2 linked regions of the Stegostoma tigrinum genome follow. The protein of the gene in region 2 interacts with the protein of the main gene of each other region in a biochemical or structural test. Links are inferred from orthologs where the notes say so. Each region holds a gene or a part of one and is shown on either strand. Other genes may lie near its edges.

Region 1 (3,752 bases), on a different chromosome or scaffold from region 2:
ATGTTTCATCAATTCTGGATTATTGTACATCCCTTTCTCCCTCTGCCCTACACTGACAGCTGTAGCCCAAGCTGCCTCAAGACCCTAAGTGCTGGAATTCTCACTTCATACCGCTCCATCTCTATTTCTCATTCACAATGCATCTTAAAATGTATTATTTTATCGAAGATTTTAGCTGTCTACCCAAATATTTCATTCTTTAGATTGGTGTCAAGTTTTGTTTTATGACTTGCTATGGGATTTTTTCCCTATATAAAGCAAATCCAGAGAAACTCAGCAGGGCTGGCCACGTCTGTGCAGAGAAAGCAGAGCCCAGTGGCCCTTCAATGAAGATCCTTTTTCCTCTGAAGAAGGGCCTCTGGACTCTAAATGTTAATCCTGCTTATTCTCCACAGATGCTGCCAACCCTGCCGAGTTTATCCTGCATTTTCTGTTTCTGTTTCAGACGTCCAGCATCCGCCTTAAAATATAGAACATAGAACATAGAACAGTACAAGGCCTTCGACCCATGATATTGTGCTGAACTTGTATCCTAAACCTGAGGTCTATCTAACCTCCACCCCTACTTTCTTTATTTTATTATAAGAATATAACCATTTATTGAGATTATGTACCATGAAGCAATACTATAATAAAATTCCTTTTAATGTTGAACTTTAGAATGCTTTTTATTTGCAATTCTCATTTTCCTTCCAAAACTATTTAATCACAGCAAGTGTGTTTTGTTGGAAGTCATTGCAGTAAAGATCAGAAGCGAATTTCCAATTGTTCAATGCAGCAGAACTCCACAATACAATCTTAGCTGAAAGAATATGGACAAAGTCTTAGTGAATATAAACTAAAATCAATTCTAGAACTGAACTGGGCTGGCTCAGATTACTCAATCTAACTAGGTACAGGCCATGGTGAATCTAAGCTGTGGCAGTTTCAATGAAATCTCCTGCGCTTAAAGCCTTTGAAAAATGGAAAAAAATTAATAGAAGCAATGGACTCATTTAACAGAATTGTAATGTCCTCAGCTTTAAAGAGAGTACCTTCTCACTGTTCAGTTTTTGGATCAAGATCTCACATTTGATTTTGTTGCTCGTTGGCTCAGATATATTCATCCCTATCAAATGGATACTACACTGGGATTGTGTGAACTTTGTATTGAGACACAAGACAAATACATCCTCGTGGATAGTCAAGAAAAATCATGTGGAACAAACAGTGGTAAAAGAAGTTACAATTATTCATTTTCTTTATTTTATAAGTATGACGCCCATTTTGCAATTACTGGTTGTCCTGGGGATAAAATCTTGTGGATGTATAAATTGAAAATGTGTGGTACCATCAATTATATCATTAGCATTTTGAAGAACTAGATGTTTTTCCAGTCACAAAATGCCAACATATTTTCATTTTTTCTCTATCCCTGATCTATATGAAAGAGGATGTTATGTTGAATTGGGGCTGGTTAGCTCTGTTGTCGAGATGGCCGGTGTGTGCTGTAAAATAACAGCAGCTGCATAGGTTTAATTCCAATGCTGAGTTGGCTTAGGACCGGCCTCTTCGTCCTGCCCCGGGAATGGGTGACAATGACAAACCACCAAGAAAAGGATCCACCAAGAAGACAATTCAGGATGAAGCATCAACAGAGAATGAATCCAGAATCTGCTCTCGGGCAAGACAAACAACAATGAATTCACGCTGAACATCCATGTGGTCACATCCACAGTTATGTTAGAGCTGTTTCTGGCTGTGCAAGCATACTCTCCACTATGCCTAATAATTATTAAAAAAAAATTCATGTAAATTATCTTATATAAATGCACGTTATTTAAGAAGGCATTTATCATGCCCAGACTCTCGCTAAAAAGGAATTTTATATTTGAGTGGTGAGAATGAATAACTCAGCAGTAAAACAGTATCCCACCCAGAACAGAATATTAGCGATTGCTGTAAATAAACTTCTCCATTCCATAAACAAACAGAATTCTTTTCAATGCTTACTGTATGACCAGAAAATCAGTAGGAAATCAGTTAAAACAGGACACTTGAGAGTTATAGTTATAAACTTAACAGAAAAGGAAGTCTTAAATAATGTATATTTTGTTTTTAAATATCTCCCAGTTAACCTGAAGTAAGCAGTTAGGGTGCATAGCTTACTGCCACACATTTTAAAATATGGTATTTGGATTTGCTACAATATATTGATCCAGTGGCTTGAAGGAGTTAGAATTATGCAGAAAATCATATTCTCACACAGTAGACATTAAACAGTATTTCAGTTTTATAATGAAATACAATCAGTTTATCCAGGGATATATCATTTTGATTGTGCAACAGTTTCCAAGCTACTCAACTGTCCTGAACTCCAGGGAGCATTAGAAGCAAACTTACTTCAAAATACAAATCTATGCCATCCACAAAGAGGAAAATATATCTTCACATGATATTGAAAATAATTTTGATAGCAACATGTTCCAGAGCTGTAAAGAATGATGTATAAGATACTGCAGAAGCTCTTTAAAAACTTTCAACTTACCTTTTTGTTTGGTTGTAAACTTTATCTCCCGTGCATGGTATTATTAACTCAAGACGGTGAAAATGTTGGTATTCCTTTTGTTCAAACTGGTTGGATTTTGAGGCAAGATGAAATTGTACAAACCCAATCTCAATGAAGTAAACCCATTGAATTAATTGATCTGTTCCACACACATTGTTGTTGTTTCATCGTTCAGCACCTTGTGATCAAACGTGGCATTTACCTCAGAGATTCTTTGTCTTCTCTGACAAATCATCTCATCTCCACAGCCAGCAAAAGGCAACCGACCACTTCCTGTCGAATTGAGCAACAGCAGAGAAATGGAGAAGGCTGTTAAGACTGATCTCTCGGGTTCCTCATTGCAGGTGTGTTGGTTTCAATAGCAGAATTAAGTTCAATTGAAAGTTACTTCATGCACTATACATTGAAAACAGCTTGTTTTTTCGAGGAACAATCGTGCCATGGTGTAAGAGAAATGACCAGCTGCTATGAGATGGAGAAACCTCAAGCCTGTTTCCAAGAGTCATCAACCCACAGGTAAAACTGCCTTGGAAACTGGGAATCCTTCGAAACAAAAGTCCCCAAAATGAAGCAGTAAGTAGTAAGATATCATGCAGCTGCTCTGCTGTGAGGCTGGAGCCTTCAGCAATGCAGATGAACCATCATTGGTGCATCAGTTGGACTTGATATCAACCCGCATGTGTAAGTTGGAAATTGCTGCCTTTCCTAATGGTAACAAGAAAGGCTTTTGGGGTACAGTGGTCATGCCCCTATCTCTGAGCCAGAAGGGTTGGGTTCAAGTCCCACTTGCTCCAGAAGTGTGTCAAAACATTGCTAAGAAAGATGATCTGAAAATATCTTTCTCATGTTAATAGCCCTTTCACCAAAGATTACAAAATGGCCAAATAATATTCTGTTGTTAAAACTTGGTAACAATTTGATTATTGTAAATAAATGGTTCAAGTTTGTCCCTGCACTAGTCCCAGACATAAACATCTTCCTCGCCTAATTCCACTGGCTTCTCTGTGTTGCAGTCAAATCAATCATTCCCATTGACACTGCTCAGCCTGTATGGGGCAGCTGTCATCGCTTCTACCATTGAATGCTACTTACAAATGTCCTAGTGAAGCTGGGAGCTCACACATCTCAGGGAATGGCTGGAGTATGGAACAATTTGAGTGGAATCTTTCGTGCCCTGGAATGAACCAGGCAATGGTGAGTCAGT
Region 2 (3,752 bases):
GATACTGAGAGATTACTGCACAGGTTGAGGAAACTGAGACATGGAAATGAGGAATCAGGGATTTTGGGAGTAAGTGAGAGAGGTGGAGTTAAGGGTGAGGATCTGTAATGGCTGAAATTCTGAAGAAGGGTCCAGACCCGAAATATCAGTTTTCCTGTTCCTCTGATGCTGCTTGCCCTGCTGTGTTCATCCAGATCTACACCTTGTTGTGTTAACTTCACATCCTTTTATGGCAAAAAAAACTCACCATTCAAAACTTTTAAATGATTATTAAGCTTGTATCTATTGCTTTCTGTTGGAGACAGTTCCATCATGCTATCAATCTTTAAATGAAGTATTTCTCCATTCCTCTCCTGAACTGCCTGGTTCTCCCTTGAAGCTTACACCCTCGTGGCCTGGATTCGCACCTACCAGCAGGAACAGCCTGCTTTCTCCCCTGCCGATTTCTGTCAAAATCCTAAAACTTAAATCAAAATCACCCAAGGAATACAAGCTGAGTTGATGTAATGGTGATAATGGGAACTGCAGATGCTGGAAAATCCAAGATAAGGTGAAGGGCCTAGGCCCAAAACATCAGCTTTTGTGCTCCTGAGATGCTGCTGGGCCTGCTGTGTTCATCCAGCCTCACATTTTATTATCTTGAGTTGATGTAATGTCTCCTTATAACTGATGGTTTGGAGAACTGGTGTTGTGGTTCTTCCAAAGGCAGAGGAAGCATATTTAATACTGATCTCCAAAAGGAGAATTCGGTAAGAAACAGTGTTTGCAGGCTGATGGGGAAAGAGCAGGGGAGTGGAACTAAATAATGAGCTCCGAAAAAGAGCCAGAACATGGACCATGGTTTAAATGATCTCTGTTGTATAATCATGGGCTACAGAGTACAGATGAAAGCTTGTGGACATTTTGATGAGGCTGAATTCTCTACATTCAGTCATCCAGCTATACTGTTGAAGTTCCTGTGGCCTAGAAAGCCATTTTGAACGATCTTCCGTTATGTTGTTTAGTTGTCTGTGAATAGCTACACAGTACTAAAAATAAACCAGTAACTTAACTTCAAAAGTATCTTCAAATCCCTTTAATGGCCTGCCATTTTATACCTTTCACTGCTCTGCAAACAGTGTCGAAAAAATTATCTTCTGACAAAAATCGTAATTAAAAGGGGTTGGAGTAACTTTGGTCAGAACTATACATGAGTTTAACTTTATAGAAAAGGTTTGTAGTGAAACTTAAATCCCAGGGATAGAGTCTTTCATCGGAAGGAAGCCCCTGAAAAACGGCAAATGTGTACACACAAGAATTCAAGAATTAAGTACAGGAGTAGGCTGTTCAGCCTTCTGAGCCTGCTCTGCCATTTAATAAGGTTGTGGCTGATATGGTTGTAGCTTTAGGTCCAATGTCCTGTCTGCCACCACCCCCAGACCCCTGTAACCCCATACTTACTCATTGATCAACACTCTGTTTAACCCAATGTCCCAGTCTTCCATGCTTTCTGAGTGAAACAGGTTCAAAGACTAATGATGACATTCTGATGAAGGGTCAGCGGACTTGAAACGCTAACTCTGCTTTCTTCCCACAGACACTGCGAGACCTGCTGAGTTTCACCAGCAATTTCTGCTTTTGTTCCAAAGACTAACAGTTCACTGAGAGAAAGATATCCCTCTTTGTCCCTCTCTTAAATAGGAAACCCCTTATTTTTAATTTGTGTCTCCCGATTCTGAACCACTCCACAAGGGCAAACACCCTATCTCACCAGACCTGGCAAGACTCCTCAGGACCTTCCATATTTCAATACGATCACTTCTCATTCTTCCAAACTCTAAAGGATAGATGTCCAACTTGTTCAATGCTTCATGGTCATACAAGCAGGAAGCAGCAAAGTGAACTTTCTCTGAACTGCTTCTACCGTGACTTTTTTCCTTTCTTATGTAAGGAGATCAAAACGTGACACAGCACTCCAGGTCATCCTCACTGACCGACTGGCAAGGACCTAGTTTATACACTCACATATTCCTGGGTTCCCCTCTATCTACTACAGATACACTCGCAGGGACCAGTTATTATTCATAGTCAGACACCTCTAAGCATGAAAACTGCCTCAGATTCTACTTTCTCTGTAAAAACTGAACGTCGAATGCAAACATCCGCAGGACAGAATTCCGAGTCACAAGCGACTCGTTGCTCTATCTCTCGATAGCGAACGGGCAGCCACTCAATGGGCCGAGCGATCTCCTTCCGCGCCCCAGCCACTTACGGTCTTTAGTTGATGGCGGTGAAAACTGTTCCTCTTTCAACTCTTACAATGCAGTAAAAGATCACAGAAACCCGAGTGCGAGACCCTGCGCTCAATGAAGAAGCAGGAAGCCCTGTGTCAGGTCTGAGGGGAGACAGCGGGACTATCTCCTGTCTCTAACCGACTCAGTCAGTTCCCCACGTTCAAAGAAGGCAGAGTGTCCCTGGACAGCGGTACCTCACTCTCTGTCCCTCAGGCTCGCCTTTAGCAGAGCAAACTCAATAAGAGACTCACCAGAAACTCCCCCGAGGTTATCTCCTCTTTGTTGCGCACCTGCCTGAGGAACCTCACCAGGATGGTTCCTTGGTCCATGCTGACAGCTGGCGAGCTGCTGGTAACTCTGCCCAGCGACTGCGGGACATGACAGAGGCTGAGACTTAACTGGCCTGAAAGGCAGGACTTTGAACTGCATATCTGCGGTTTTAACACAAGCAGGAGGGAATCAGCAGTCACTGTTACTGCGGTCAGAGAAGGGAAGAGAGACAGGCTCTCTGCGGGTCCTAGTGCCTCTTGGCGATGGCAGACAGTATCTGCATTGTTTGGTATACGCTCGTGTTTTTTTTGGGCGCCTCTAAAGTTTTACACCCATTTTCCAACTCGAGAGATTGCTCTTTTACATTAAAATATTTAAGTTAGGGAACTGTGATTGATTTGTAACAGCTTGTATTCTGTGAATGAACAAAAATAAGACATACAAAGTGACGCACTCAAGACATGCACACACACACACACGTACAGACGACAGATACACAGACATACATACACATAGACGCAGATACACTTACACACACATGTACAAAACACAGAGACAGACAGACACACAGGGACAGACACACATTCACAGTGCACACACACAGACATACACAAACACATACAGGCACAGATATGCACATAGACAGATACAAACTCACAAACAGATACACTCACAGACGGATACATAGAGATATATGCATGTAAAAGGACCATAGCTAACACATACCTCACACAAATACACAACCTCAGAGACTCACAGCAACCCCATCCCCCAGAAATATAACCCCAAACAAATTTTCAGTCTCCCCTACACACAAACAACACCCTTATTGGAATAAAATGCTTCAAATCACTTTACAATAATACTTGTAAAGACAAATTTGGCATGTAATATGTTACATAATCTTGGATATCTAATCCATTTTTACTTTTATTTATATACTTCTGTATTTTATTTCTGCCTGTTCTGTGTGTGTACTATAGGGTGGGCAATTTCTATGTGTTTACATGTGTGTGTTTATTTGGTTGTTTGTGTGTAGGGGAAACTGAAAATTTGTTTGGGGTTATATTTCTGGGGGATGGGGTTGCTGTGAGTCTCTGAGGTTGTGTATTTGTGTGAGGTATGTGTTAGCTATGGTTCTTTTACATGCGTATATCTCTATGTATCTGTCTGTGAGTGTATCTGTTTGTGAGTTTGTATCTGTCTATG

Evidence for each region.
Region 1: of the proteins of tyrosine-protein phosphatase non-receptor type 22-like (region 2) and lck, one has a biochemical effect on the other in vitro, tested with the Homo sapiens proteins (3 studies listed by IntAct, with this or other methods). The link is inferred for Stegostoma tigrinum from reciprocal best matches to the Homo sapiens genes PTPN22 and LCK.

What each region holds. Positions count from the first base shown.
Region 1 is NC_081377.1:45,812,685-45,816,436, reverse strand, and holds the start of lck (tyrosine-protein kinase Lck), read right to left. Parts: upstream 2,716-3,752; 5' UTR 2,528-2,715; intron 1-2,527. UniProt on the Homo sapiens protein: Non-receptor tyrosine-protein kinase that plays an essential role in the selection and maturation of developing T-cells in the thymus and in the function of mature T-cells. Plays a key role in T-cell antigen receptor (TCR)-linked signal transduction pathways.
Region 2 is NC_081374.1:3,310,881-3,314,632, reverse strand, and holds the start of tyrosine-protein phosphatase non-receptor type 22-like, read right to left. Parts: upstream 2,687-3,752; 5' UTR 2,603-2,686; coding exon 2,525-2,602; intron 1-2,524. UniProt on the Homo sapiens protein: Acts as a negative regulator of T-cell receptor (TCR) signaling by direct dephosphorylation of the Src family kinases LCK and FYN, ITAMs of the TCRz/CD3 complex, as well as ZAP70, VAV, VCP and other key signaling molecules.